Xenopus tropicalis: one gene and its partners. Each later gene encodes a partner of the first gene's protein in a complex. Links are inferred from orthologs where the notes say so. Each region holds a gene or a part of one and is shown in the gene's direction. Other genes may lie near its edges.

Evidence for each region.
Region 2: polr2e (region 1) and uri1 share a complex: the UniProt entries of both Homo sapiens proteins name them as parts of the PAQosome complex. The link is inferred for Xenopus tropicalis from reciprocal best matches to the Homo sapiens genes POLR2E and URI1.
Region 3: polr2e (region 1) and ruvbl2 share a complex: the UniProt entries of both Homo sapiens proteins name them as parts of the PAQosome complex. The link is inferred for Xenopus tropicalis from reciprocal best matches to the Homo sapiens genes POLR2E and RUVBL2.
Region 4: polr2e (region 1) and gtf2f2 share a complex: the UniProt entries of both Homo sapiens proteins name them as parts of the TBP-based Pol II pre-initiation complex. The link is inferred for Xenopus tropicalis from reciprocal best matches to the Homo sapiens genes POLR2E and GTF2F2.
Region 5: polr2e (region 1) and polr1b share a complex: the UniProt entries of both Homo sapiens proteins name them as parts of the pol I pre-initiation complex. The link is inferred for Xenopus tropicalis from reciprocal best matches to the Homo sapiens genes POLR2E and POLR1B.
Region 6: polr2e (region 1) and ubtf share a complex: the UniProt entries of both Homo sapiens proteins name them as parts of the pol I pre-initiation complex. The link is inferred for Xenopus tropicalis from reciprocal best matches to the Homo sapiens genes POLR2E and UBTF.
Region 7: polr2e (region 1) and gtf2h4 share a complex: the UniProt entries of both Homo sapiens proteins name them as parts of the TBP-based Pol II pre-initiation complex. The link is inferred for Xenopus tropicalis from reciprocal best matches to the Homo sapiens genes POLR2E and GTF2H4.

The regions. Positions count from the first base shown.
Region 1 is NC_030677.2:100,196,633-100,201,193, reverse strand, and holds the start of polr2e (DNA-directed RNA polymerases I, II, and III subunit RPABC1), read left to right. Parts: upstream 1-1,662; 5' UTR 1,663-1,672; coding exon 1,673-1,729; intron 1,730-1,939; coding exon 1,940-2,114; intron 2,115-2,212; coding exon 2,213-2,328; intron 2,329-3,943; coding exon 3,944-4,024; intron 4,025-4,561. UniProt on the Homo sapiens protein: DNA-dependent RNA polymerase catalyzes the transcription of DNA into RNA using the four ribonucleoside triphosphates as substrates.
Region 2 is NC_030680.2:71,279,072-71,283,716, reverse strand, and holds the start of uri1 (unconventional prefoldin RPB5 interactor 1), read left to right. Parts: upstream 1-1,575; 5' UTR 1,576-1,719; coding exon 1,720-1,794; intron 1,795-4,645. UniProt on the Homo sapiens protein: Involved in gene transcription regulation. Acts as a transcriptional repressor in concert with the corepressor UXT to regulate androgen receptor (AR) transcription.
Region 3 is NC_030683.2:113,409,788-113,413,751, reverse strand, and holds part of ruvbl2 (ruvB-like 2), read left to right. Parts: intron 1-509; coding exon 510-604; intron 605-1,597; coding exon 1,598-1,716; intron 1,717-2,576; coding exon 2,577-2,696; intron 2,697-3,635; coding exon 3,636-3,765; intron 3,766-3,964. UniProt on the Homo sapiens protein: Possesses single-stranded DNA-stimulated ATPase and ATP-dependent DNA helicase (5' to 3') activity; hexamerization is thought to be critical for ATP hydrolysis and adjacent subunits in the ring-like structure contribute to the ATPase activity.
Region 4 is NC_030678.2:133,829,508-133,834,233, forward strand, and holds the start of gtf2f2 (general transcription factor IIF subunit 2), read left to right. Parts: upstream 1-1,846; 5' UTR 1,847-1,898; intron 1,899-2,115; 5' UTR 2,116-2,152; coding exon 2,153-2,221; intron 2,222-4,726. UniProt on the Homo sapiens protein: TFIIF is a general transcription initiation factor that binds to RNA polymerase II and helps to recruit it to the initiation complex in collaboration with TFIIB.
Region 5 is NC_030681.2:38,727,778-38,732,283, forward strand, and holds the start of polr1b (DNA-directed RNA polymerase I subunit RPA2), read left to right. Parts: upstream 1-1,559; 5' UTR 1,560-1,665; coding exon 1,666-1,842; intron 1,843-4,506. UniProt on the Homo sapiens protein: Catalytic core component of RNA polymerase I (Pol I), a DNA-dependent RNA polymerase which synthesizes ribosomal RNA precursors using the four ribonucleoside triphosphates as substrates.
Region 6 is NC_030686.2:18,522,893-18,527,323, reverse strand, and holds the start of ubtf (nucleolar transcription factor 1), read left to right. Parts: upstream 1-1,482; 5' UTR 1,483-1,909; exon of another isoform or gene 1,910-2,143; intron 2,144-2,278; exon of another isoform or gene 2,279-2,689; intron 2,690-2,717; exon of another isoform or gene 2,718-2,859; intron 2,860-2,920; exon of another isoform or gene 2,921-3,217; intron 3,218-3,310; exon of another isoform or gene 3,311-3,887; intron 3,888-4,431. UniProt on the Homo sapiens protein: Recognizes the ribosomal RNA gene promoter and activates transcription mediated by RNA polymerase I (Pol I) through cooperative interactions with the transcription factor SL1/TIF-IB complex.
Region 7 is NC_030678.2:143,590,400-143,594,363, reverse strand, and holds part of gtf2h4 (general transcription factor IIH subunit 4), read left to right. Parts: intron 1-75; coding exon 76-172; intron 173-773; coding exon 774-862; intron 863-1,683; coding exon 1,684-1,792; intron 1,793-2,736; coding exon 2,737-2,805; intron 2,806-3,361; coding exon 3,362-3,445; intron 3,446-3,964. UniProt on the Homo sapiens protein: Component of the general transcription and DNA repair factor IIH (TFIIH) core complex, which is involved in general and transcription-coupled nucleotide excision repair (NER) of damaged DNA and, when complexed to CAK, in RNA transcription by RNA polymerase II.

The DNA.
Region 1 (4,561 bases):
GGCCCTAAAACTTTTCTGTCTTACTGCGCCTTACATTTGGAACCCTATCCCTTAATTTCTCCAGAGACAATCTCCCCTTAGTGTTTAAGAACTAAACTTAGAGCACTCATACAACACCTGATCTGGGAACTAGCACTTATATCGCATTGTCACCCACTTTAACCTGCAGCACTAATATCCTCCTATTGTGTCTGTAAGTTACCCTCCCATTTAGATTGTAAACAGAGATGTCCACCCTCTTGTCTCTTTGATTGTTAAAGGGATACTGTTGTGATTTTTATGGTATACTTTTTATTTCTGAATTACACTATTTACATAGCAAATAATTCAGTCTACCATTTAACATTTTATTCTTGAACCAACAAATGTATTTTTTTAGCTGTAATATTGGTCTATAAGCAGCATTGTGCAAGTCTGAGCTTTCAGAAGGAGCCAGCGCTACACATTGGAACTGCTTTCAGATAACCTATTGTTTCTCCTACTTCCATATAACTGAAGGAGTCACAAGCTGGAATTGGATTTCTTACTATTGAGTGCAATTCTGAGATCTACTGGGAGCTGCTATCTTGCTACCTTCCCATTATTCTGCCGATTGGCTGCTGGGAGGGGGTTCATATCACTCCAACTTGCAGCTCAGCAGTAAAGTGTGAGTTCAGAGCACAGGTCACATGACTGTGGCACCCTGGGAAATGAAGAATATGGCTAGCCCAACGTGAAATTTCAAAATTAAATATAAAAAAAATCAGTTTGTGTTTTTGAAAAATGGATTTCAATGCAGGATTCTGCTGGAGACGCTCTATTAACAGATATGTTTTTAAAAAATACGTTTTTCCCGTGACAGTATTAATTTAACGTATTGTATCCTTACCTTGTATTTACTATCATACTTTGTATTTATTTTATTGTAATAGTCCCGTTTATTCTATTCATTTATTGTCCTACTGTACAGCGCTGGGTACATAAGTAGTGCTATATAAATAAAAATATATATACATACATAAAGATAATATTATATATCAAAATGGGGCTTGGGGCAAAAATAAAAAAAAATCTTAATAAAACACTGCTCGCCTTAAAACAGTTTAACAAGTATTTCTAAAGAATATTTAGTTTACGTAATTCTTGTAGTTAGCCTATCATTGGCACATTACCACACCCTCTTTTGCCAATAACTAATCCCTATACCTTTAGAGGGTTAACTCTTAAACTTAGCCACTTATAATATTAATGCAGAGCGCCATGTAACTATGTGACGCAATATAAATACACGAAGACGATGAATATAGGAACGGTAGTAATACCCACCAACAAAATGGTGATCTTTACAAGAACATGTACGCCGGCTTCTTGCCTACCACAAACATGGCCGAGCCCTTCAACTGCGACGATGCAATTTCTTTGGTCTTCCTTAGCGTGATACCGAAACTTGAACAAATTCTACAACCCGAATAGCCACCTTCAGCAAAAAAGGGAAACGATATTATGCGCAACTTTATTCCTTTTCCACAGTGCAGTTTTAAGCTAATAACACGTCCTCAGAGATACCCCACAGCAGTATTCGCTTGTAGCCATCAGGCAGAGTGAGGGCAGCCCATGTAGGGTCCTCCTGCAGCCCAGGGAGCCGAGCTCCGGAAATCGCGCTCTTCTTCCTGTTTGGTCTCGTGGAGACAACATGGACGATGAGGAGGAAACTTACCGGTTGTGGAAGATCCGCAAAACTATTATGCAGGTGAGAAAATTGAGTTTTAAATCTTTTTGTGTTATAATCTTCGCCTTTTTCAGTAATTCGAACTCAGCTACGTTGTGTTGGGTACCATTCATTTCTGCTTCCAGCATATACTTCTACTGTACTCTTCGTCCCTGTCACTTTTACTTTTGTGCTTTACCTCATCTGTCTCCATATTACCTGTTTCACTCGCATCCTTCTTTCCTTCGCCAGCTGTGCCATGACCGTGGTTACTTAGTAACGCAGGATGAATTGGATCAGACACTGGATGAGTTTAAAGCCCAGTTTGGGGACAAACCTAGCGAAGGGCGCCCTCGCCGAACTGACCTGACTGTATTAGTAGCTCATAATGATGATCCCACAGACCAAATGTTTGTTTTCTTCCCAGGTGAGTAGGTGCAAAAAAAAAAAAAAAAACAGTGACTGGCTGAAGGGTCTATACATGCAGACAAAGGATTATTACATGTTTGCCTGTCTTATTTGTAGAGGAACCCAAAGTTGGCATTAAGACAATTAAGATGTATTGCCAGAGAATGCAGGAGGAGAACATTACGAGGGCTTTAATCGTGGTGCAGCAGGGAATGACCCCATCTGCCAAACAGGTAATTCTGCCAGCTAACGTGCACCTTACCTAAGCATACTTACTGGGTGAACTGCAGTTCTGATCCAAAGCTTTTATAAATGAAAATGTACAGATAAAATATATACTACTCCGATGAATTAATTTTCTATGTGATTTGTATGTTTTGCTGGCAAAAGACACCTAAGCTTTATTTTTTATCTTAAAAATGGGATAAGTTTGAAAGACCCTTCTTTAAAAAGGAATACACCTATTATTAAAACTATAGATCTCATCTGCTAAATGCAAAAAAGTGCAATTTGCCATATTACCCCTCAGTGCAGCATCCTTCCTGCAGCATAGGCATACACTTACATGGTTGTCAGTCATGTGCAGTTCAGCTTCCACAACCTTGATTGGCTATGAGTGCATAAGGAGGCCCAGTGCTTAAAGGAACAGTAACACCAAAAAATGAAAGTGTATAAAAATAATTAATATATTATATACTATTGTTTTGCACTGGTAAAAGTTGTGTGTTTTCTTCATAAACACTACTGCAGTTTATATAAATACCCTACTGTGTAGCCACGGGGGCAGCCATTTAAATTGAAAAAAAGAGAAAAGGCACAGGTTGCTAAGCAGATAACAATTAAGTAGCAGATTCCCATTGTATTCTACACAGTTTATCTGGTATCTTCTTATGTAACCTGTGCCTTTTCTCCTTTTTTCAATTTAAATGGCTGCCCCCATGGCTACACAGCAGCTATTTCTATTAACTATAGTAGTCTTTCTGAAGCAAACACGCAACTTTTACTAGTGCAGGGCAACAGTAAATTATATTTTAATTATTTTAAAACATTTTTATTTTTTAGTGTTACTGTTCCTTTAACACCAGGCCCAGACTGCCAGTCTGTGGATTCTGGCAAATGCCAGAGGAACTGCTGTAAGATCCCACAGACAGTTGCTGTTTGGGCCTTTGTGTATTTGAAATATTAGGGCCTATTTTGAATCTCAGCCTGGGTCTGCATAACACCAGGTCAAACCAGATGTTAAGCACAGGGCTTGGGTGCAAGTAGGTGCAGGTCATATGCGTATGCTGTTTAAAATTTGCAATTCTGGCTGATGAACTAACATAGTCATATTATCCAAGTATAAGCAGGTTACCGTTTTATGTTCTCTGGCAAGTAAGATAAAGGCAGACGTTTACTAGTTAATTAGTTACTAGTTAATATTGTATGATTATTACTTAATACTACTACCACGTTTTCTAAAAACAGGATCGAATCACTTTATTTGCCTGATGGAAAGGTAAAGGACAACTATAAACCTTCTCTCCTATGATATAGGAAAGAGGATGGACCGGTCATTGCATATAAATATGAATGTAACCTTTTCATGCTAAATCATAATAAAGACGTTAAAAAAAAAAATTGGCAATTCTGCACCTACTTCTTGTAAGTGAGCCCTTTTGACTTCAATCCAGTTGAAACCTTGTTTCCTATGCATAGGATAAATACTGCCAAAATCTGAAAAAATATTTTAATTATTAAATTATCAGTTAATGTAGTAAAATGTTTACATGGTGTTAGTCCATAATAAATACTATCCAAAGCTTCTGCCAGCTTTCCTATCTTTATAGCAATCTCTTTATTTTGCAGTCCCTGGTGGATATGGCACCCAAATACATTCTGGAGCAGTTTCTACAACAGGAGCTTCTGATTAATATCACAGAGCATGAGGTGAGTTTTAATACAGAAGGGGAAGAAACACTTTCACTCATACTGAAACGTTTCTGTTATCCATACACACTGACATGTAATAGGTGGGTGCACATGGGAACGTTAGGTGCCTTCTTGATGAGTAGCAGCAGAGTATTGTAATGTGTTAGCCATAGTTTCAGAAAAAAGATTTTAGGTGGTAACATGATACCGTTTAAAATTAATTAACCAATAAACAGTATCACCTTCCCACAAAAATCTTTTTTTTTTTTTTTTTGTGAGTCCATATAGTTTAGAAGTTCATCTTTATTAAGTTCTGTACTGTTTATTTCTGATAGCTCAGGGATTTTACATTTGACCATAACTTTGTAAACTAAAACTCCCAATATGTTGCATTTGTAGCTCGATTGCTGGATGAATTTGTAGTTCGGTACCTCTAATAGCAAATGATAGGCAGGATGTGTAATTCAGAATATAATAAAAGCCCACTACATTTTAATTTTTTTTTTTTTTTGTGTTTCCTTTGCACACTGTAAAAGAATAGTTATAGTTGATAAT
Region 2 (4,645 bases), on another chromosome or scaffold:
TTGAGATAAGCTTTTTTTTTTTTTTTTTTAAAAAAAAAAGCACACATTTTATTTGACAGGCACAAGATCATAATGAATTATGTAATTCCTAAACAAAAATAATGGCAATGAAGTAAATAATTTCCATTTAAGTTAAAATAATATTACATGGCAATGCAATATGCCACTTTTGCAACCACAGAGAGCCAGCCTATAGTTTTATTCATTACCTTGAAATAAACTGATGTAGATATCAGTATTCTAAGACAATTTGCTATTAGCCTTTATTTTTTATGCTTTCTGAAATATTTAAATTTTTTGCTTTGCAACTCTCAGGCTCGGAATACTAACTGCTATCTGGTTGCTAGAGGTTATATACCCAAGCAACTAGGCAACAGATTAGAAGACAGAATAGATCAATAATAGTGGACCTAAAAAATTAATAAATTATAAAAATCATAATACAATGAATCTGTTGATCTGTTTTGAGATGCTTGGGGTCAAAAGCGCCATAAAGGCCAAATGATTTTTTGACTGGAAAGATGAAAAATATTGAATGCTAAATATAAAACAAATACACAAAAAATAAGTCTAATTAAAAGGTTACTTAATAGAGGTCCAGCTATAATTTACTAAATGTTAATAACACGAGGAACATCTGAACATCCCAAATAGCATTGGTGATTGGCTCAACGCACTGTAGACTGCAGCTGAGCATGCTAATGATCCAGTAAGAATACAGAGTATGTACTGACATTTACATGTGGGAATGTGGGAGTGAAGTTAACAGTTGCAGACGTGACACACGCAGCAGGTGCTAACACAGTATCACAGTAATACAGTAGCACAGAAACACAGTACGAGAGTAGCACAGTTTAACACAGACAGTAGTACAGTAACACAGTAGCACAGTAACACAGACAGTAGTACAGTATCACAGTATCACAGTAACACAGTAGCACAGTAGCACAGTAGCACAGTATCACAGTAGCACAGAAACACAGTAGCACAGTAGCACAGTATCATCACAGTAGCACAGTATCACAGTAACACAGTATCACAGTATCACAGTAACACAGTATCACAGTAACACAGTAACACAGTAACACAGTAGCACAGTAGCACAGTAGCACAGTAGCACAGTAACACAGTAACACAGTAGCACAGTAGCACAGTAACACAGTAACACAGTATCACAGTATCACAGTAACACAGTAACACAGTAACACAGTATCATCACAGTATCACAGTAACACAGTAACACAGTATCACAGTATCACAGTAACACAGTAACACAGTAACACAGTATCACAGTAACACAGTAGCACAGTAACACAGTAGCACAGTAACACAGTATCACAGTAACACAGTAACACAGTAACACAGTAACACAGTATCACAGTATCACAGTATCACAGTAACACAGTAAAACAGTATCACAGTAACACAGTAACACAGTAACACAGTATCACAGTAACACAGTAAAACAGTATCACAGTAACACAGTAGCAGAGTCAGGCTGATGAAAGCTTTCCTCCTTGGAAACGTACAGTCCCCACGTGCATTTGCTTCCTAGTTACGAGATTTCCCAGGTCTCATGCTCGCGAGAGTTTGAGGTGAATTTCCTTCCGTGCCTGAGTGGCTCATGCGAGTGGGACTCTCAGAGTCGGGGCCCGAGAAGGTGGGACCACGGTCGGTTCCCGAGTTCCGGGGCAAAGGGGTTTGCGACGGACGGAAAGCATGGAAGAGATAAGGGAGGGTACGAAACTGCTGAGCTCCAGTGATGTGGCCAGACTTCAGGAAGAGCATGGAAAGGTAAACAGAGGACGAGTGCCATGTTACACATGTGAATGTGGCAGAGCATAAGCCAGCCAGGGCAGAGCGCTTATGCACTAGGGTACAAGTGCGCCCAGCGGGCTTAGGGCAGCCTGTACCATGGTTAATATAGACAGTATGGGCTTGTTCCCCAGCAAAGAGAAGAGCACACAGTTGGAATAAACCACTTAGCAGCACATCACTCATTTGCTTTTTATCACTGTAACTTTTAGACTAGTCGGAGCCCATTGTTTTGTACAAAATGGACTATATTTGGGCATTATGACACAGGGCCATTATGACACAGGGCTGAGCATTGGCCATCAGGAAGGTAGCACAGGAAACTGAGAAGCAAAACAAATAAAGGAGGATGTATGTTATTGAGCAGGATGTACAGCTACTGAAAGTTATATAAGTTCCACTTGCACCAGAATATGCAGCTTAGTATTACCATTGGCGCTGCCATAAAATCTGAAAATGTTAAGGTGTAAATGCTTAATCCCATAGGGAACACAGTACTCTGTCATGTCTGTGCACATTTGACAGGTACCCTGTTTATAAGTTAGGGTCAGGCAGTGAGACGCTTCCAGCATCTTTTTAACAGGAGGGCTACAGTATGCACAGCCATGATCTAACTCAGCCGGTTGACTTTGCTAAGCATAATGTACCACTGTGACCTTTGAGTTGACTCAAATTCAGTGTTGTGCTCCATAAGAAATAAAAGTTACATTGGGCATAAAATTGACAACAATTCAGTAAATAAAGCTTGTTATCTTATAAAATTGCAGTTGTCTTAAAAGTGGCAGGACTTGCACCTTTTTTGAGCAGTAATGCTGTGCCAGCTATTAATGCAAACACCAGAGTACCTCTTGTAGCAGGAACAGTCTAAATGTCATAGGCAGTGCTATTGGTATGGCATGAGGCATGTAAATACCTTCTGTTCTCAGAAGGCCTCACACTTCATGTCTTGCAATGTAAAGGACAATTTGGCTCCTTTTACCTCTTCTCATCCTAACCAGGTCAGTTCCTCTGCTTAGCAGTTCACTTACTAGTATTACTGGAATCGTAGTTGAGAGCAAAGAGGCAATAATATAGTTATCTTGGACTCTACAGTGTTCATTGAAGCTGTGTAAGGGTGAAGACACATGGAGCTACTTAGTAGCAGCTACTTGTAATGGCTACTAAACTCCAGAAAATACCATACCATAGATAATACTGAGAATTGCCTCTTCTAACACACACGTAGAGACAATTATCAGTAAATGATCAGCACTGTCTATTTTTGTAGCTGCTACTAATAGCTCCTTGTATCTTCACCCGTATTGTTATCCCTTTAATAATCCATGCTGAAAGCTTGTACCTGAATCCTTTGCCTACAATTAGAAAACTGAAGAGCTAGCCTAGGAAGGATGTGAGCATAGTGTTCCTAATGGAAGGAGTGAGCAAGTTTTGCATATTTTTAACATATTGTAAATTTGGTGGGCTGTAAGCACAATGACTGAGCATATTTTGTACTGGTGCACATGCAGTGCAGCAAGACAAAAGGGTTAATTTGCAAAGAATTATAAGCTTATATAATGCTGAATATGACATTCTTCCAAGCTTCTGATTAGAAGCTAAGAGCTTTAAATCTCTAAGTACAAAGTATAGACTGAGGTATTTTAAGAAGGAGTTTTGGATGATTCCGATTCTCAAGTCTTCTTACCCTCTGGTAACACAAGAACACAGGCTGGGGTTTATTTACTGACATAGGGCAAGTGTGCATTGGTTCAGTAAAACGTTGCTGTTGATCAGTTCGCTCATTGAATCAGTTTACTGGATGTAGAATACCAAAGCCCTTATTTGGGTTCCTATGGGCTAACATATTGGTATAACTAGTAATTTTTGCTTGTATTGCATCATCTGTAGAGTTAGGGCTAATAATCCTATTACGATATTACAAAGCAGAATTAGAAATTTTCTGATTTCTCACTGTGTATCACACTGTGCACTGTTGCACAGACTTTTTTTGTTTTTAGTGCATTTGTCACTGTATGTGTATCGAATAAGTCATTTATGTAGTTATGACAAATGTCAAATGGCACATATATGTTTTTGCCTTTAAAATTTATGCCCACTTTTTCTGTACATGCATTTGTCTTCTGGTACAGTATTATGTGTCCCATTGCCCATCAATATAGTTATCTAATTTTGCCCTAAAAGCATGGACCCACAGGAGTGGAGACAAATGCATAATCTAGAAAGAAATCCAGAATACATGTAAAAAGTAATTTGTAGTGAGCCTTAAAGGAGGACTAAAGGAATATTGTCATGTTTTTTTTTTTTCTCCCAAAAAACACATCCATTAATAGAGCTTCTCCAGCAGAATCCTGCACAGAAATCCACATTTGTGCTGCACAGAAATGTAGGTCATAGTAGCTGATTAATAACCATTTCTCAATGCAGAACACATTGGTTTCTATAGTGACATTTATTGTGAATATAATTAATTACAAATATGCTTTATATTAACAAACTAGAATTCACAATATACTGTGCATTGTGAATCAGTCCCTAAGCAAAAGGTGACTGACAGCAGCCCTGAGCATGTTCTGTAACTTAGTAGGTATAAGATGGGGAGCTACTGTTGGTGTCTTTAGAAGATATTTACTTTAAGGGCCGTGGCAGACGGGGAGATTAATCCCTTATCACGGGTGACTAATCTCCTCGATATGCCACCCCACTGGCTATAATGAAAATTGCCAGTGGGATGGCATATGCGGCCCGATTTACATTCTAGTTGGTGGGATGGCATTTTGGGGTGATTAATCGCCCGCGACAAGGGAGATTTGTCGCGGCCAACTAGTATCCC
Region 3 (3,964 bases), on another chromosome or scaffold:
AATGTGCTTAGTAGCACCTTAGCCTAGTGATACAGAAGTACTTCAAGCTTTATCCAGTTTTGTGTTGTGCTGTTTTGTTGATTCCACTAGATTTTTCAAATGTAATTTAAAGGAACAGCAACACCAACAAAATGAAAGCATTGTAAAGTAATTAAAATCCCATTTAATGTTGCACTGCACTGATACAACTGGTGCTTCAGAAAATCTACTATAGTTTATATAAAAAAAAAGCTGCTGATTAGCCATGGGGGCAGCCATTCAACCTGGAAAAAGGAGAAAAGGCACAGTTTATATAGGCAGATAAGCGGTGTTGTATCCTGTGCTTGAATGGCTGCCCCGTGGCTACACAGCAGCTTTTTTATACTATAGTAGAGTTTCTGAAGCAAACACACCAGTTTTACCAGTATAGGGCAACAGTACATTATATTTCCATTACTTTACTAGGTATTCCAACAGTTTTATGTTTTGATGTTACTGTTCCTTTAACATAATGGAATTTTCTGTTTTAGGAGACACAGGGGAGATTAAATCAGAGGTGCGAGAACAGATCAATGCAAAGGTTGCAGAATGGAGAGAGGAAGGGAAGGCTGAGATTATTCCTGGTGTAAGTTGTTGATCTTCTGTTGATTTCTTTTTGTACACAATATTTGAAATAAGAAAAATAAATAAATAGATAATGTGTATAGTGAATAAAACATAGAGCACCAGTGTTTACCTTAGCTTTACAGTAAAATCATCATTGGCTGTCCTTGGCCAGATGTGTGTTTGGGTAGCAGAGTTCATTATTATGGCACTCTTAGCCAATGCCTTAGAAAACAACAAGATTGCTCTGTCGGGAATAATTTGGCCGCTCGCACCAAGGTTATGGGAATAAGGGGCTGCATAAGAAAGCACACTGTGCTTCTGTAGAGAAGATAAAAAGTTGCTTTTCATATTGCTGCAACGTTTGGTAACTTGTTCTTTATCTTTGCCTGCAAGCCCTCTGTAGCTATACATAGCTAAACACTTGTCCTTGTTATGAAGCAATTTTTTTTTATTTTTTTTTTTTTAACTTGCAGGAAGCTGTTGCTAAAACAATATAACTACTTTGGATATATATTTTACGGAATTTTTACAGTTTAAAAAAAAACTTAAAATTTCTCATTTATTTTGTTTCTCTATTACAAGCAGCTGAACTGCAGCTCTTTTACTAACTTTCTTGTCTAGCCTGAAGCTCCGCCCCCATTTGCTTTCTCTGCCCTCCTTCTCTCTCTGACCTTAAAGAGGTGCCTACTGTGCATGCCTAATTGGTTTTAATTGGTGCAGAGGCATGTCCAGTAGGCACTTCGTTGAGGTCTTCATAGTCTGAGAGAGGAGTGCTCAGAAAAAAAGGGGTGAATCTTCACTCTAGGCAAGGAAGTCTGTAAAAGATTAGCACTACAGCTGCTTGTAATAGAGAAACAAAATAAATCTACATGCAGGGTGAAGGGTATGTTATTCTGGGGCCTTTACAGATCCTCATGCTTTAAAGCTGCATGAAAAATACTTGGTAGTTCCGCAGTTTAAACTAAATTTAAGTTTAATTTTGATTAGTTTTTTTTTTTTTGGTGCTCAACAGGTGCTGTTCATAGATGAGGTGCACATGCTGGATATAGAATGCTTCTCCTTTCTGAATCGAGCTTTGGAAAGTGACATGGCCCCTGTTCTCATAATGGCCACCAACAGAGGAATAACCAGGTAGGTCGCAGCCGCTGCACTTGGCCATTTATCTGCAAGGTGTGTGTAGAACTCTTTTATGGTTTCATTCCAGTCTATTTCACGCTTTGTCTCGATCTGAAGGACGTGTGAGAGATTTATCTGACCTGATAACCCTTGAGGTGCCCATACACCTTCAGATCCGCTTGCTTGGAGATGTCGCCAAGCGAGCGGATCTTCTCCCGATATCCCCCACCTACGGGTGGGCGATATTGGGAGAATCCAGGCAAATTCGGTATTATTATAACGAAGGGTATAGGCAGAGCCGATGCGGTCCCCGATCCGACTAGATTTTTTAACCTGCCCGATTTCAGGCCAGATATCTGTCTGGAAGGCACATCGGTAGTGCCCATACACGGGCCGATTAGCTGTCGAATCAGTCTAAAGGACCGATATCGGCAGCTAGAATCGGCCGTGTATGGGCACCTTTGGGTCTACCAGAAAGTTGGGCTCCTTTCTTGGGAACACTGTGCTTTTAACACGTCGCTGCTTTTTTATGTCACACCCATTGGCACAAAGCTTACAGATAGGTTTTCCTTCTGTGTGAAGAGATATTATAGGTGTTGCAATGTGTGCAATGGTTCTGATAGGATCTTGTCACATTGTTCACATTGTTGTGCTGAGCAAGGTGCAGCTCATATAAAGAATCCGTGCAGTAACCTTTTATCAGTTTGACCAGCTTGGTTGGTTGTTCTTAGCACAGTCCTAGATACAGACAAGTGTCCCTGGGAAGATGCTGCAGTTGGACTAATGTTGCTTGCTTTGGTGTCTGACCATTGTATTTATAAAGTACCAACATATTCTGGACTTTCATTCTTTTGTTTTTAATGTTTTTAAAATAGAATTCGGGGCACAAACTACCAGAGTCCCCATGGAATTCCTATTGATTTACTGGATCGATTACTCATTATCTCCACCTCACCATACAATGAAAAAGAGACCAAACAGATCCTAAAGATCAGGTAAGAAACTGCATTTAATGACTTTTGAGGGTACAGGCCTGAGAGCCAAAAGGCATTATATGGCATTGTGTAGAACTACTACAGGAGGGAATACAGGGTTATGGGAGAGAGCTCTTAGTTGATCCAGGGACTGGTTCAATTGCCATCTTGGAGTCAGGAAGGCATTTTTACCCCTCTGTGGCAAATTAGAGTGTGTTCAGATGGGGTTTTTTTTTTGGCCTTCCTCTAGATCAACAAGCAGTTAGGCAGGTTATATATAGGCATTATGGTTGAACTTGATGGGCACGTGTCTTTTTTTCAACCCAACTTACTATGTTACTATCGTCGTCTTTACCCCTTAAATGACACCATCCAGTGGAATGCAAGCCCATTTATATAATTAACTTTCTTATTGTTTTTTTTTTTCTACTTGTTTCTCGTTAAAGGGGAACTCTGACTTCAGATCCAAAATGTGTTAAAGAGCCCCACACAACACTATTTTTATATTCTGGAATCCAGCTGCAAAACAGTTCTTCTCTTTCTGCATTGTTTGAAATCCTGGCAGGGGAGGAGGGACTAAAAAAACAAATTATAACAACTTCTTCACAGCTTACAGACAGCATGCAGGAAATACATAACCCACAATGCATTTCACTGCGATGTTCCTTTCCTTATTGTGCAGGGCATTGTGGGATTTGGATGATGCAGGCTTAGGACAGTCAACTACTGTTACATTTTATTTGAGTCTCAAAGTAGTCCGCCAGATCAGCAGGGGAACAGGGGCGGGGCTTAGGGAACTGTTCCAAACCATATTACATTAAACATCATGAATAGGCTGCATATTTTTTAATTGATGTATATTGCGAAGTTGCTTGAAATTGTTTCTTTTCAAAAAACTTAAGTTGTGTTTGGGTGGAGTTGCCCTTGAATAATTTTGAAACAATTCCACATCTTGTTCAGGTGCGAGGAGGAAGACGTGGATATGACTGAAGATGCTTACACTGTTCTGACAAGGATTGGCCTAGAGACCTCCCTCAGATATTCCATGCAACTAATAACAGCAGCTAGCTTGGTCTGCAGGAAGAGGAAGGTGAGCCTAGAACGACTCTTAATCATTATACCATAGCTCTTAGAGAGTCCAGGCAGCATTGCATATGTGGGTTGTAGATTATTGCTGCTACCTAGTTTCCAAATAGCTTATGACTATCAAGCAATCTGAGGCAAGTAGCTGCAGTTTGTGCATATAAACAATGGCCATCTTTCTTATTTATTTCACAATTTAGTTTACC
Region 4 (4,726 bases), on another chromosome or scaffold:
ACTTTCGTACTCAGCGCGACGGCTACGAAAAAGTCTTAAAGGCTACAAAAAAGTCGCGACAATTTACGAAAAAATCACAAAATACCGATCATTACGAAAAAAACGCATTCGGACGCTTTTCGGGCATTTGTGGATTAGTAAATGTGCCCCATAGAGTAACCAAATGCATAAACTTGAGTGCAGAAGTAGAAGTTACATCTTTTATTAACACAGCTCTCCTTACCAAGCCTTTGCCTACCCTGCCACAGACAATCTAATGTGGTGTTGCGCACAGTTTATAGATATTGCCTTGTCACTGGACTGATGTTGCGTCGAGTGCGTGTTTTCAGTCGCCTCAGTGCAGAACGTGTCCTGGGAGCGCAGAAGGCCTGTCACAGATATCTGCTGCGCATTTGTTATCTTTACGGAAAACATGGATAAGTCACTAAATCATTCTCACGTACAAAATCCCATCGGTCCAAACAACCACCCAGGCGAGCTAGAAACTTGCAAACAAACACAATAAAACATTACCTTACCCATAGGCGGAGGATGACTTTTTTGTTTGGGGAGGCTAAAGATGGCCCATACACAGACTGACCTACAGCTAATGTGACACTTAGTGGATTCACTGCTGGTGTAAAAAATTAACCTCCCAACTACCTCTGGCAGTTCCCACTGACTCCCAGGGATACTGTGCAAAAGTGCGGCTGGGGGGGATTTTTTTAACCCTAAAATGCTTAGGATGTAAAAGCATTTATACGTGCACTTTTGTTAGGGGTTCTCTATACATTTGTGTTCAGTTAGGTTAAAGGGGTAGTTCACCTTTAAATTAACTTTTAATATGATGTAGACACTGATATTCTGAGACAATTTGCAATTGGTCCTCTTTTATTTTTAATGGTTTTTCGGTTATTTAGCTTTTTGTTCAGCAGCTCTCCATTTGGTATTTCAGCAGCTATCTGGTTGCTAGGGTCTTATATACCAGGTAGTGGTTTAAACAAGAGATGGGAATATGAATAGTTAAGGGGCTGCATGGAAAAATAAAACTGTAGCTTCACAGAGCAATACTTTTTGGTCAGTGACTATCATTTGAAAGCTGGAAAGAGGCAGAAGCAAAAGGCAAATTATTCAACAACTATATAAAATTAACTAGGAAGACCAATTGCAAAGTTGCTAGGAATAGGCCATTCTATAATATACTACAAGTTAACTTAAAAGTGAACCTCCCCATTAGATGTGCTTAAGTTAGCTTTATAGAAAGTGAGGCAGCAGGTACTGACATCCCAGGCACGTTATATACAGTGAGACGCAGTCTTTATATACAAAACCAGCACATTATATGCCATGAGGAGCAATGGGTACAGATGGCAGATATTCAGGCCCTGGCACTATAACACTGGCACTGATACACAGCATTGGCCCCACTGTAACTTACTATAAATAAAAAAAACAATGACAAAAGTAAAAAAAAAATAGAATGTGCAAAAAACCATAACAAATATATAAAAGCACAATGAGCTTTGTCAGGGGGAAAAATTAACTTAGGGTAGGAGATATTATAAATGTCAGATGACAAAAAACAATTTAATTCCAGCTAGTGGGTCAGTCTTTAGAACATATACAGTATAGTACCTGTGGGATGAAAACTGCAGCAAAGTTCAAAGCTGGTTCATGGGTAAACTTACAGTCTGCAGATTCTTCTTTTTTAAGTCTTCATTTCTGCAGTTTGCAAAATTTCCCGATCCCTGTCTGCATCTGTGTCTTGATTGGTCAATTTTACTGTCTGTCAAGAAAGCTGTGCTCTGATTGGAGAATATACAAGAAGAAAGATCCAATCAGAGCACAGCTGATTAGAGCAGAACCCTGAGCTTGCAGGGACAGGAGAAGATTTGCAGCACAGCGCGAAACAGAGCCAGGTTTTTTTTATTTTATTTTTTTATTTTTAGGGTGCCAGAGCAGCCTTATCGAAAATCCGCCTATGCTTTAACCCCTCCTGTTCTGCTCCCGCACTGGCTCTATAGTACAAGCGCACCCTACTGAGGCTTTGTGAGCGCTTCCGGAAGTGTGTCCTTACTAGCGCCCCGTACATTTCTGTGCACCGGCAACTGAGTTCCGCTGTGCTGTGTCTTCCAGGTGCTGCTGCCAGCAATTTCTTGTACTGATCGCTGCCATGGCCGCCGAGAAAGGGGATTTGGACCTGAATGGAGCAAAACAGAATACCGGAATGTGGCTTGTCAAGGTGGGAAGGAAATGCTGTATGGTTACATTGTCGCCTTCCTGACCATGTGATTGGGTAACGCAGGATGCTGGAAGATGCTACTTACAGGGCTTTGTTTGTAGTGTTTGACCCTGTAAACAAGTTGAAGCGATAGGCTGCTTGTTGTGTAGTGAAGATAAATAAGATGCTAGAGTAATTTGTGGCTAGCACCTGTGCCCTATTATTTGGCCTCAGCCCAGTGCACTCATTTTCAGGTAGTAGTTCAAGTTGAGCTGGGTATGATTAGTCTGCGCTACTTGTGCGCTGTGGAGAGGGGACGTATTGTGTAAAAAAACTATTGTGCCAGTCAGTGTCGGACTGCCCACCAGGATACCAGGAAACTCATGGTCTAAGGTTTTCTGGTGGGCCCCTGGGGTCCAAGTCTGACACTGGTGCCAAAATTTTACTCATCTAAATATAGAAGGAATGTGCTTTAAAAAGTAAAAAATAGTGTTTCGGGATGAGAGGATCTATAGGGAGCTCCATTTGTACAGGTAGTATTGATTTTTAGACCTGAGTGAAACCAGCACCGTATTTTATTCATAATTGCCTATGAGATTGGAGTTTTCTTTTATTTTACTATATGTCTCCTTTAACACATACTGCTCTACTTTTGCACCGCAGTTGAAACCCAGGGCAACCAGTAAACACAGGGCCTATCTGCCCTTGTGGCCAACTTATGGGTTTATAATAAGTTATAGATAGGACCGCATATTCCAGTAGTGACACGTGATTAGCTTTCAGGACAATCAGTCTGATCCTTGGTCTTCATCTCTCTTTAAACCACAAATGATGTGTCACATTTCCCATTTTATTCATGTCTTAAAATTTTGAAGATTTTTGAGGTGTGGAGGCAGCCCCGGATTTCTATTTCAGGCCACCCCCTTTCTCTGCCCCCTTCCCCCTCAGAATCTTGCGCATTCTAGCAGCATGCACACAGAGCATACAGAAGGTATACAGAAGTAAACCATGTGTTAGAAAATATACATACCCATAAGCTTAGTAGGAGCTCATTCCGTTTTTAAGGGTCAGGGCTTACGGTTCAGTTGTGTTAAGCTGAATAAATAGTTGGGTGTCTGGATGAATATAAATAATTATGTTTAATGTCACCCATTTAAAGATGAATATCTGTTGATGCCAAAGGTAGGTCGATCCTTAAAAAGGATCTGTGCAGTTTTGCATCCTTTTTTAGTTTTGTTCTGCACCATTTATTTGTCACAGAAGATAAGAAGCACTGCTGTGCTGGTAGCCTGGTGGATAACTGAAAATGCAGACTATTTCAGGAGTAGCTGCTCTGCAGATGTTGCAGTAATACTTGTCATTTCTGCACTGTGCTGAGCACTTCAATGCTAGAACAGCTTCCCTAAGGGCTGTGGCACACGGGGGATTAGTCGCCTGCGACAAATCTCCCTTGTTGCGGGCGACTAATCTCCCCGAAATGCCATCCCACCGGCGAAAATGTAAATCGCCCGCGTCAAGGGAGATTTGTTGCGGGCAACTAGTCTCCCCTTCTGCCATAGCCCTTAAAGGAGAAGGAAAGGCTAAGTGGGTGCCAAAATGTTAGGCACCCCCAAGTGACTTTAATCACTTACGCACCTGGGCTGGTGCCCCTGTTAGGAGAAAACCGCACCAGCCCGGGGTACCTGCGAGCGTCTCCTCTTCCTTATCTCTTCTGTCTTCGGAATCCCTGGGCTTTTATGTTAAAGTTGGGCTTTTCACTAGGGATGCACTGAACCCACTTTTTTTGGTTCGGCTGAACCCACTCTGACGGATTCTGCCGAATGCTAATTAGGATTGAGAAGGGTTAAAAATCCGGCGTGCTAATTAGGATTCAGATTCGGTTCGCCCGAAACCTTCAAAACAGGCTGGATTCTGCCCAAATCCCGAACTTGGTGCATCCCTACTTTTCACTCTACTGCGCATACGCGCGAAGACAGAAGCAGGAAGAGGAGATGCTCTCTTGCAGGTATCCCGGACTGGTGATCCTGTTAGGAGAAAACCGCACCAGTCCGGGGTAGCTGCGAGCGAGCATCTCCTCTTCCTGCTTCTGTCTTCTGTAAAAGGTAAGCGATTAAAGTCACTCCTTACCATATATTACGAGGCATTACAGTAGCCAAATGTCTTTTTTAAGTATGATAAAATTTGGGTTAACATGGTGCTAAGGAAACTAGGTGCTTGCAGATCTAGAGGAAAGCTGAAGTACCTGTTATCTTCCAAACTTAGATTTTTTGATTTTCAATTAAAATCATGGATAGCATTGTGTCTCAATGCTTTGGGACAATGTATCAAAACAGATATTTCACGAAAACTTAAGCGTGATCATCGCATTATTAAGAGATTTTTGGCTGATTCAGAGCACAGACGTGTTCGTGCAGATAAAGGCACATTGTGGAAGATTTCTGCTAGATCCATGCATCGGATCAAGAGAGCAGCTGCTAAAATGCCATTACATAGCAGCAAACAGATATTTGAAGCTGCTGGTGCCTC
Region 5 (4,506 bases), on another chromosome or scaffold:
CCCCAATCAGAACCTGTATCCAGGTCTCTCTGCAGGGGAAAACAATTCTCTTCACCCTAATATTGTGACTTTTTTTGCATATTATAAAAAAATATATATATATATATACAGTCTATTTTGCAGGCCATTTTTCAGTGCACTGGTAATCAGATTATCCACCATGCAGGAACGAGAAGTTGTAAATAAGAGTAATTTAAGTGTCTATTTGTAACAGTTGCCACTTCACCTCTTTAATACCAGCCACATATTGAATCCAAATCCTGCATGACTAGTTAGCAATTCATTTAAATACATGCTGCATGGCTTCACATAAATCAGTTCAGCCTGCATCTAAATTAACTGATAACTAGCTATGCAGTAGTAATGTGCGGGTTAGAAATCCTCACAAAAGGGGTGGGGCGTGCACCTATAAATTAGAGAGCTGAAAGAGGAAGCTGGCAGTGTAAGGTCAAGGCCGCCGCTCCCTATAAGCAGAGTACTCAGTCTGCATAGGGCACCAACTCCCAGGGGGGCACCATCCCAGCTGCTCCAAAAAAAACAAACCATTTTTATATATTATAACATACCCCCCAACACTGTCCCGCTGGTTTTTATAGCGCATCCCGCTGTCCCGGATAGTTCAATCAATCTATGGGGGCTATTGGGGGCACTGTGTGTGGGGCCCCTATAGTAGGTGTTTTTTTTTTATTTTATTTTTACTTCCGTAATATTTGGGGGAGGGGGCACAAAAGTACATTTCTGCTTAGGGCACCCATTTGGCCAGCAGCGGCCCTGTGTAAGGTTGTGGGCATGGAGGGTGACCGGACGCACCCAACCCGCAAATGATGTGCCGAAGTCATCCCAAACCCACCCGACCCACACATCACTACTATGCAGGATATCGATTCTATATGTGGCCAGTATTAAATAGGGTGAGGAGGCAACTCAACTGGGTTTGGTGACCAAACATTGATTTGTTTCTTATTTAAAATAGGCAAAAAGAATGTTCAGCTCATGCCCTATTCACTGAACTCATATTGCAATGCACCCCTAGACTATAACAAGTCAGACTGTGTATATAGAGGGACAACTAGCTTGTAGCCTGTAGTTTTTGCTGAATAAACCCTGCCAGATAGCTACTGATGGGAGGGTGCTGGTAGTTGTAGTGCATTAGCTTTATCTGCATGTTATGAAGAGCTTCATAAATAAAAAAAATTATATTATACCCCACCTCCCCATTCTATATGCAAGTTACTTGAACTACTGTCTACCCCCCTCCACTCCCCTTTAGAAAGTTTCCTGTGGGAACGACCAATACAGGCACATTAAGTGAAGGCGATATAGCTGAACATAGCCATTTAAAAGGGAAAGTTAACACTGCCAGAATGAATTGATTTTAACCTGACGCTGTGGACATTGGGTAGCAGTGCATACAGAATAGAACCATACGTGCTTGTGTACATACACCAAGGGGCTTCTAAGAGCGACTGCTGCTCAGCTTCCAATCCAACCCGGCAAGAGTCCAGGCACCAGCAGAACAGCTGTGACATGTCCCGGAAGTGCGTCCCAAGTAGGAAGTAGGCTGCAGCGCTACACGTGTGGCTAGTCCCGCCCCTTCCCCTGCACATGGGCTGCTTGCCTGGCGCTCAGGATTCTCAGGGCTAACTGACTGCCACTTACTGCAGGATGGAAACGGACACTAAGTGGCAAGCGCTGCTCAGGGAGCCTAGCCTGGGCAAACTTACCAGTCCCGACTATGGGATTCCCGGGGAGAGCCAGCACCCTCCTCTGCAGGATATCACTCGGGCTCATATCGACTCCTTCAACCAAGCAATGACAGAGGGGCTGAGTCTGGCGGTGCAGGTGAGGGAAGTTGGGGTCTAGGAAGGGGTGGTATAGCTGCTGATGTGGGTCTGTATAGTAGAGATGTCTGAGATCAAAAAGCAGATACACATGTGAGCACTCCCTGGGACTCTGCACTGCCCTGCCATTGATCTCTCTCCTGAACCTCCCCTTAGTATTGTTATAGTATCAATATGCACTAATGTACATATACAGCACAAGCCTTTCTCAGAATAACACAACCCTGTTAAACCACTAGTAAAGGAAGCATTGATGATATCATAGTAACATAGTAAGTTAACTTGAAAAAAGACATACGTCCATTACGTTCAACCATAATGCCTATATATAACCTGCCTAACTGCTAGTAGATCCAGAGGAAGGCAAAAAACCCCATCTGAAGCTTCTCTAAATTGCCTCAGAGGGGAAGAAATCCTTCCTGACTCCAAGATGGCAATCGGACCAGTCCCTGGATCAACCTGTACTAAGACCTATCTCCCATAACCCTGTATTCCCTCACTTGTACTGAGAGCTATCCCCCCAAACCCCTGTATTCCCTCACTTGTACTGAGAGCTATCTCCCATAACCCTGTATTCCCTCACTTGTACTGAGAGCTATCTCCCATAACCCTGTATTCCCTCACTTGTACTGAGAGCTATCTCCCATAACCCTGTATTCCCTCACTTGTACTGAGAGCTATCTCCCATAACCCTGTATTCCCTCACTTGTACTGAGAGCTATCTCCCATAACCCTGTATTCCCTCACTTGTACTGAGAGCTATCTCCCCTACCCCTGTATTCCCTCACTTGTACTGAGAGCTATCCCCCCTACCCCTGTATTCCCTCACTTGTACTGAGAGCTAAGACCTATCTCCCAATAACCCTGTATTCCCTCACTTGTACTGAGAGCTATCTCCCATACCCCTGTATTCCCTCACTTGTACTGAGAGCTAAGACCTATCTCCCAATAACCCTGTATTCCCTCACTTGTACTGAGAGCTAAGACCTATCTCCCATAACCCTGTATTCTCTCACTTGTACTGAGAGCTATCTCCCATAACCCTGTATTCTCTCATTTGCTAAGAAGCCATCCAGCCCCTTTTTGAAGCTATCTAATGTATCAGCCAGCACAACTGATACAGGGAGGGAATTTCACAGCTCTCACAGTAAAAAATCCTTTCCGAATATTTAAATGGAACCTCCCTTCTTCTAAACGGAGTGGGTGCCCTCGTGTCCGTTGGAAGGACCTACTGGTAAATAAAGCATCAGAGAGGTTATTATACGATCCCCTTATATATTTATACATAGTTATCATGTCACCCCTTAAGCGCCTCTTCTCCAGTGTAAACAGACCCAACTTGGCCAGTCTTTCTTCATATCAGTGACATAATTTCTATGAGACACAGTATGTGATGTAAAAACTATAATAAATAAGTCCCTATGTATGTATAATATAGCGCAAAGTTCAATTCCAATTTATGATGTGTATTTTCACAACAATGATACAAATACACCTGTGACCATTCACAAACAACTGCAGTGTTGAAGATTTTCTAGAGAATTTATGCCACAAAGAAATGAGGTATGTGAAATGTTAGCATGGAGGAGGTGACGTAGGTAATGAGATGCAAAAGTTGATGCTCTCTCCTTGATAAATTGGCAAATAGTCACTGGAAAAATTTCACCTGGTAAAATAATGTGAATAGAATATTCCCCAAATTGAAATTGAGTGAAATTAATTTACCAAAATGTGGTGTACTCTCCTGATTTAATAAATTGACGATGTTGTGGCTTATTTTCACGTTGGCTGAAAATAGTCAAAATTGTAAATTTCACACTGCAGTTAATATGCCCTATAGAGAAAAAGAAACTAGAACTATATATTTACTAACCAAAGCACCAGTTTTATGCTCTAAGTCAGTGCTTGCCAATTATTTCCATATAGTGGGCCAGATATTTACTTTTAGCATATTTGTTGGCCGCATTGAGATGTTATCCAAAGATGCCAGTTGGGTTTTCTTGGAGGGCCACATCTTGTCTGTGGGCGTTCAGTTGGCGGCCCTGCTCTAACTAGTTCCTGGTCAGTCAGTAGCCATACCCATAACCCACACCTGGGCTGAGATTCACAGTCTGCCGTGCTATTACTGAGGCCCAAACAGCCTTCGACAGGCCCAATAGTATGAGTTAGTTGCAGGATACTGCAGCGTCTCTGGTTTTGCTGAAACACTGAAAGTGGCAGTCCAGGCCTGACATAGCCCATAGCACATAGGCCTGGCTTTCAGACTTTTATAGTTTTAAGACAGTGATGCAGATTTGGTCAGGCTTCCTTTAGAGCATAATTTTAGAGATATAACTTTTAAAGGAGTTTTTCACCTTTGAATTTATTTTTGATATGATGTCAACATTGATAATCTAAGGGGCACATTTATCAAAGTACAATTGTCTCCTACTTATTTTTTCTAAGTTTTTGAACTGTACGTATTTTCATCGATTTCTTCCCGTACTGTGCGTCATAATTTACGCAACAATATTGTATTTGTCACAACGAGTACGAAAGTTTCGGATTCATTCAAGCTTTGGTATCGTGACTTTCCTTGGGCCAGGTTGGAGCTGCAGAGTGCCATTGAGCCCTATGGGAGACTTTCCTTGGGCCAGGTTGGAGCTGCAGAGTGCCATTGAGCCCT
Region 6 (4,431 bases), on another chromosome or scaffold:
CCCTAAACATGCATAGAAATTATTGATCAGAAAACAGTGTTGGACTGGGTTGTCCGAAGCCTACTGGGGCTGCTGCATGGGGGCCCCCAACCACAGTCGTGAGCTGCTTTTGTATGCTTCTCCCGCCACCACTGTGTGACTTCCTCCTAGCGGCCGCAATGGGAGGGGGGGAGCGCCAGTGCCTGCAAGGGGAGTCACTGTTTTTTCCCCATGCCCTGCCGGCCCAGTTCAACATTGCCCGAAAAACCAAACTGGGCCAGCAAAAGTAGATTTCAGTGTTGTCTCAGTGTTCATGCCTCTGACCAATGGGCATCATAGGGGTTAGCACAAGTGGCATAACTTGGTTGCCCCCTGCATAAAAAGCTTTTGAGAGGGTCCGGCGCAACCAGTCCCTCCATCCGGCCAGACTGCACCAGTATATTTAAGGTAGGAAAGGGGCCTGGGAGGGGGGACTAAGGCACAGCAGACCCTGCAGTCGGGCCCCCCACCCCAGTCAGGGTTGGACTGGGCCCAAAACCCATGGCGCTCTCTCCCCTGTTGCACATAAGCTAAGACACACGGCAGAGGGAGTTGAGCAGACAGTGGGGGCCAGGACAGGGCCCCCCAGTTCAACCCTGTATATAGTTACACCCCTGGTTAGCACTGCTGTCTGGGTTTCATTCTAGCCTGGGCACTAGCTGCAACTCCCTGGGATTCCTCCCACACTCCAAATACATACAGGCAGATTAAGTGGTACTGATAAATTGACCCTAGTGAATGTGGTAGCAACCTTAGATTGTAAGCTCCACTGGAGCGGGGGCTGGTGTACAATCTCTGCTCATTGCTGCAGTGTCAGTACCATATAAATAAGGGTTAATAACTGTAAGGCGCAAAGCCCTTCCCCTGGCACAGTATGGGCTCCTGGCATCTCTAGCTGCTCCCCGCTCATTATGCCTGATTGCTGTTCATGTTAAAGAGAGAGAGAGAAGAAACCCTCCTTGATGTGCCAGGAAAGCTTCCCCCATGATTGGCTCCCTCTCTCTGACGCTTTCAACAACAAAGGTGGAGTCAAAAAAAAAATTAGGTTAAAAAAAAGGAGAAGATAAATAAGAGTCAGACAGGAACAACATATAGGGAATAAAAACCTGTTATGGGGGGTTTAGCGCCTGTGTATGGTTGGAAGCGCTGAGCAGCCAGCAGCCGCCGGATCTGAGCAGCCACCAAGCCCTGCTTCAACCATGATCACTGTATTGTTGGACTACAGCTCCCAGAATGCCCGCACAGCCTATCTGGGAGCTGTAGTTGGACAACAGCTGGAAGCAAATTGCTGCCGTATGAGGTGAATGTGAGGGGTGCCTGTAGCGGCAGCTGGTAATGGGGAGCAGATTGCGGTGCTGGCTGGATGGAGGAAAGGGAGGGATGGAGGGATCAGCTGGAGCCTGTTGCAGGGAGAGATTGGAGGGGGCCTGGCTGATTGGAAGGCTGTATAGGCACGGAGAGCGATGGAGGCGGGGGAAGTGCGAGCTCTCTGCGGGGACTGGGTCTGAGTCCACGCCCGGGGCCAGCGCTGCAGATCTGGCCATCATTCAAGCGCCGCTTCCCCAGCCTTGTACAGGGGAGGAGGAAGCCGAGCCCGGGCTGCACACACACACACAGGAGGTGGGTTTCACTGAGCTCCATAGAACTCCCCCGGAGCTGGCGAGGCCCCCCTGCCGGGCTGTGTAGGGTGCAGCAGCGGGAGGAGGAGGAGGCGGCTCCCCGCGTTCTGTCTGCCCGGCTGCTGCTGCAGCGACGCTGGGCGGGGAGAAGGAGCAGGCAGCGCCCCCCCTCCCCCGGAGCTCTCGCCATTACCCAGGGGCTGCCGCAGCCGCTTTGTCTCCGAGATCCGGACAAGCAGATTCCCCCCAACATCCCTGGGAGAGACAGTGGGGTAAGCCGGCTTGGGGGTCTGCGGGCACCTGGGGACGGATACGGCACAGATCGCTGGATTAGTATAAAATCCACTACCGGCCGGGGAATTTGTAGCCACCGAAGGGCGTTAGTGTGCGGGGAAACCCGGGGAAAATGTCACCTCCAAGCGGGCACGATTCAGTCGGGCTTGCCGAGAAACATGCACTTTTCTCGGTCACCTTGCGCGACTCACCCCGTTGCGGTTATGGGGAAGGTACGTGTAGCCTCAGTTTCCCTGCCCGGGCTCACCCTGCGGGGCATGGGTTTGTTTAATGCGGGGAAGGGCACTGTATGTGACGGGCAGTGTGGAACCCAATAAGGGCAATAGCAGCCCGGGTTCCCGCTGCGCCCTCTCCCAGGCACCCTCCCCTCGGGCTTTGGCTTGTTTTTCTCGGGAAGAGGCTGCTAGTTCCGCGCTGGGGCTGCTGAGGTCGCTCTCCCCCGAGTCTCCGGCTCCTCCTCCCCCCTTGGCCGGAAGGTGAGGCCCGGCAGCTGGGAACAAGGTAAGAGCTGCGGAGGGGGAAGGAGAGAGACGTTCCCAGGGGAGCAGAGAGGTGGGTGCCCGGGAAGATTGCGGGGAGCTGCGCCGACACGGCTCGGAGCACCGAAGGGAGGGGGCCGGGAACATGAGGCAGAGCTGGCCGGGGCTCGGGTGCATATTGCGGGGAAACGCGAGGGGGCGTCCGGCTGCTGTTGCGGGGCTTCCGGGCGCGACACGTGGGCTGGCAGGGGACTCGGGCTGGGGACGGCGCTTCTCACGGTGAGTAGGAGCGGAGAGGGGGTAGAAGGTGACCCTGTTTCCCGGGAAGAACAGATGCTGCCTGGACTGCGCTGCCGGTAGTTAAGGAGGCAGTCGGCCGGTGTCTAACGGGGAGCGAAAGAATCATTCGCGGGTAGAAGCGAAGGGACCCATTGTGGGCAAATAACGAGGTGGGTGAAAGTCGGCCGAGCCTGTGGCGCATTATACTACCGCAGGCAGCCCGACTGGATCGTCTGATGGTTTAACCATACGGGCTCTGCTTTAGCCGAATCCGATTCGGAGCCTTTCCCCGCACCTTGCTCAAGGCAGCCCAAGCGGCTTCCCGGCACAGGGTGAACGAGTCGGGGCTACCAGCGATCCCAATGAAAAGCGTTTTAAGGCGGAGGCTCCCCCTGGGTCGCGGAATGGGCTGATCCGTACTAGTGGAAGCCGTGCCGCGGCAGGGAAGGAGCGGACGCCGGAGCTACGGCTGGTCCATAACAAAGGGGGGAGCGCTTTTCTCGGGAGCCGCTGGTTCGGAAGCGGGCGGTAGGTTAGGGTGTATTCCTCGCTACGGACGGGGGCTCGAAAAGATGCTATTTACTGGTACGGAGAGTCAGAGCCCGGGGTGGGGGTTGGACTAAGCGGGATAGGGTGCCCGGAAAGCTGGTGTTTTGGTCCAGTAAGGACCAGCCCCGCAGGCATTACTCGCTAGGGTCAGGGGTTCCCGGGTGAGACGGTTCTTCGGTAGAGTCAGTGGGTTGTGTCAGGTTGGAGCGACCCCTCCCTGGGACTGGAGACGGGAGAGTACCGCTGGGTATGCGGCAGTGCTCAGTCGGGCCGCCCTTACGGCTAGGAACCCGGCTTTGCCTGGGGGTCGCTGCCGCGCTAATCCTCCCTCGCACCGGACTAGGGTTGTACAGTTACCGGGACCGCATCGCTGCTGCTTCCCGACGCGCCCAACAGGAATCCCGGCTCCCAGCCAGAAGTTCCTCCCTTTCGGGGGTGGGATACGTCTGCTCTTTCCGGATCCCGTCCCCTCCCGGTGCTGGGCGGGTGCTACGGTGAGAGGCGGCGGGGGCCCCCTGCAGGCAGAACGGAGAGTCCTAGCCCGACTCGGGGTGGGGAATTGTGACCTCAGAGCGCCCTTTCCTGGAAATAGAGCAGCGCTGCTTCTTAGTACCCAGTCCTGTAGCCGGAGCTCGGCCCGTACTGATCGGTGTGTTTGTATGGCAGCTCCTACGCCGTGTACGATTCCCTGCAACTGGCGCTGCTGTTGAAAACTGTAGTTCAGCATCAGTCACGTCACACACACATTTGCACTGCTGCCACTAGACTCGTTTGGGTTTAATAGCAAAACCATTTAGGACCCCTTCACTTTTCCAGTAAGACATGGCCACTGTGACCCCCTATATCTCCTGGACTACCCCAAAAGTCGCAGCTGTGAGACTCCAAATATCCTTAACCTCATACCAGAACCATGTGACCATAATGGTAGAGCTGGAGGGGCAGATTATAGGTAATGCCCCGACTGTGTTTGCCACACACCCATCGCATGTAAAATGCCAAGCAAGCTGATATTTACTCCCAGCCCATGCCTACATACCCTTTTATACTGCCTTAAACCGTACAGTGTTATGGGATTGTTCTTGTGTTCAGGGCTCCCCTTACAGGAATTACAGGGGTATTACATTATTATCCCTTCAGGTTTCTATGGCATGTGGCCTTGTGTCTTTTGTTACCCAGCTACACTGTAAATATAG
Region 7 (3,964 bases), on another chromosome or scaffold:
ACATTTGGGGGTAAAGTCTGCCCAGGTACAGTATCCCATGGCTGATTTTGTACTGTGTTTTTCTTACCTTCATAGGGGAAAACCTTGGGCAGATGATGGTTGCCTACTAGGCCCTGATAAACATGGAAAAGATGTGGTCTCGTTGGATAAGTATGCAGAAGAGAGATGGGAGGTGGGCACTACTTTATTTTATTTGTTTAATACTTCTGCTTTTCTTTTGCTAACTAAAATATTTGGTTAATGTATGTGTTGATATGAAACTTATAGTACAGGTATAGGAGCAGTTATCCAGAATACTTGGGACCAAGGGTACTCTGCAAAATCTTTGCATAATTTGAATCTTTATACCATAAGTCTACTAAAGAAATCAATAAAAATTTAATTAAACCCAATAGGACTGTTTTACATCCAATAAGTATTAATTATATCTTAGTTGGGATCAAGTACTGTTTTATTTTTACAGAGGAAAAGGAAATCAATTTTAAAAATCTGAATTATTTGATTAAAATGGAGTCTATGGGAGACAGGCTTTCCGTAATTCAGAGCTTTCTGGATAACAGGTTTCCGGATAACAGATCCCCATACCTGTATTGTACATCTGCAGTAATCATTAGTAACCCAGTAACTGTGTGGCTTACCATTATAAATGTTGTCTTTAACATTCCCATTTGAATAGATTTGTTCAATAAAAAATTCTGTTATTGTGTGTTTTATTTATAATTTGTTCTAATCCCTAATGTAATAAAACTATTATGTTTCGTGTTTTGTATTAGGTTATTTTACATTTTATGGTTGGGTCTCCAAGTGCTGCTGTTAGCCAGGACTTGGCACAACTGCTTATACAGGCCGGCCTTATGAAAAGGTAAGACCTGTTCTCATTGCACGCATTGCTTGTTCTGAGTATACTTATTAACATCCTTATGTATATAACTTATATTCACATATCTTATTTATTAAAAAAACGACTTATGTGTCATTTGGCCAAGTCATTTATTTTTGTGTTCACGGCATATATATAAATATATTGGGGATTGCTGTAGGTAAAGGATAGCCGTAATCCTGAAAAATAGCATAAACCTGAAGAGTAATTTCAAACCAATGTAAATATCAGGCCAGTGGCACAAGTACCATATACAACAGCAGAGAAACATCAGCTACCCCTCTGTTGTGTATACATAATATTGGAGATATATCTGTCATTTAAATAGAAAAGGGCCGGTGATTCTTTCTGCACATAACATTTTTCTGCCAGCATATTTCAGCTAGTAGGAAACCACCTGTTATATTGCTTTTGAGCATTTCTGGGTTAAAACCTGTCTGATGCAGCTTGTTTATGGTTATGTGCCAAAGCACAAGCAGACATAAATTTGAGATCATAAAATTAATGTTTTAATGAGCCAACCTTTTGTAATTCAGTTGTAATTTGTGGGGCTTATGTATTTACAGTGGTTCAGTTTGTTCAATTGCAGTAGGTCATAGCAACCAATCAAAAATATATTATTGTTAATCTACCTGCAAGAGACTGATCACAGATAATAGCTGATTGGTTGTGCTGAGTTGCTTCACTGAGGTAAACTTGCTCCTTTTTAGAAAATACACCCCGTGATGCTATTTTTGTGTTTTTCATAAAGATATATGTGTGTTTTTACTAATTCCGTTCTGCGCATTTTATTTTTCTTGTAGTGAGTCTGGGGAAGCCCCCTGTATTTCATCAGCTGGCTTCCAATTTTTGCTTTTGGACACACCTTCTCAGCTCTGGTATTTTATGCTTCAATATCTCAAATCCGCAGAGGTAAGTAAATCTTTTGTCACATATTTGTATCCGCGATCATTTATTCCCTCACCTATTAAAGAATGAGATGATTTTCTTCATCCTTTGCCACCTATGCCAAAAAAGGTCAACATGTTGCTTACCGACCCCTTGGATGTTGCTCTCCGTGCCCCCAAACCAGGTAGTTATTATAGAATTCCTGACTTGGTGGCAAGTTTTGGTTGAATAAAAACAAGATTTACTACCAAATAAAGCAGGGATCCCCAACCTTTCTTATTCCTCATAGTCAAATGAAAAACAACATGGAGAGCAACACATGCATCATAAAAGTTCATGGAGGTGCCAAATAAGGGCTAAGATTGGTTATTAGGCAGCCTCTATGCACACTATCAGCTTACAGGAGGCTTTATTTCGTAGTAAATCTTGTTTTATTTCAACCAAAACTTGCCACAAGTCGGGCAAGGGGGTCGGTGAGCAACATGTTGCTCATGAACCACTGGTTGGGGATCATTGAAATAGAGTCTCCTGTAAGCTTATAGTGTGCATAAAGGCTACCTTATAGCCAGTCTTAGCCCTTATTTGGCACCAATTCTTTTTACATTTGATTGTGGCTTCCGATTAAGAAAGGTTGGGGACCCCTGGTCTAAATCAACCTAGTAATGTCCAGTTTACTCAATACAGTGCCCCTAGATAAGATACCTACTTGACACATACTAGGGCTTGTTTATTAAGCATGGTGCAAAGCCTACGTTTAGCCACATTACATTTAGAGGGGGCAGGTGAAATTGTAGAAGTTTCTTCGTATAAATGAAATAACTTAATGGCAAATGGACTGAGACTTTGCTGTTTGACTGTTACTGTTAGGTCTCTAAATGGTTTAGTGTATAAACTGATGCTATTATATTATATATAATAAGTATCATATTCTCATCTTGCAATTAATAATACGGCCTTGTTTATTTAAGTCTCGTGGGATGATTCTGGTGGAAATACTCTCCTTCATGTTCCAGTTAAGCTTCTCAACATTGGGAAAGGTAAGCTAAAATGCTGCAACATTTGAGATCAGTGTAAAAGACTAATGAGTGCCACAGATGAATAACACAAAGAATGGGCCCAAACTGTAGGATTTTTAGTATTTAAGAGGAGCCAGTATGAATGCAAAGGATATGGATGCCAGTTGGGTCTATGGGACGGGGCTGTGCATTGGGAGGTATACAATATCATTATTGAAATATGGAATAATGTACCACCTATTGTAACTATGAAGATATTGGAAGTCACTGAGGAATTCTATGAGCATATCAATGCACAAGGCCACAAGGGAAGGTTAACATTCCACCTGCCATTCTGTCAACTTTTGACATTCTTTTCTCTGACTGATGTTGTTGGTATTAAAGACTTTACCTATATAATTATTAATACACATACAGGGACAGACTTTACTTTTCCTGTCTGTGTATTAATAAAATAAAGCAATTGCTTTCCTATATAAAATGCTAGACTGATGAGTTGCCTGAGCAAGGTGTGGGAAAAGAGGGAAATCAAATGTTACTTTCTTGTGTGTACAAACTCTTTCTGTTCCATCCAAAGGATTACTCTGTGGAAGGGATGAGTGATTCCTTACTTACTTTTCTTCAACACTTGCGTGAATTCGGCCTTGTGTTTCAAAGAAAGGTGAGTGGGTGGATATATATGTTATAAATATAAATAGGGATACTATATATTATATATATATTTATATATATAAATATATATATATATGGCACAAAGGGTGTTTTCATTGCTGCTTTCTTTTGACATTGGGTTCCACTACTTTGCATGTCCATTTTAATTAGCATTGCAAATATCAGGTGTCAGATGGCTCTAAATGCCATAACCATATGTTCTTCATGAATTGGACTTTATAAAAAGGCTTTCTCCATGTCATTAAAACTCGCCCAGCTAAATTAAAATCATGTCAAATATCATCCAAAACGTTAATATTAACAAACACTTAACAACCTGCCATGTATTGCTAGTATGGAAAAATGGAAGATTAACACAGCACTGCTATTCAGTTGTAATAAAAATTAGGAGAAAGATTAAAACAAAACTAAAGTTATCATACAAGGCAGATATTGGCTGCCAGTAGTTTGACTCAGTCAGCTGCTTATTAGCATGCACATGGCCCCAAAACAATGCTCTCTCTGATCA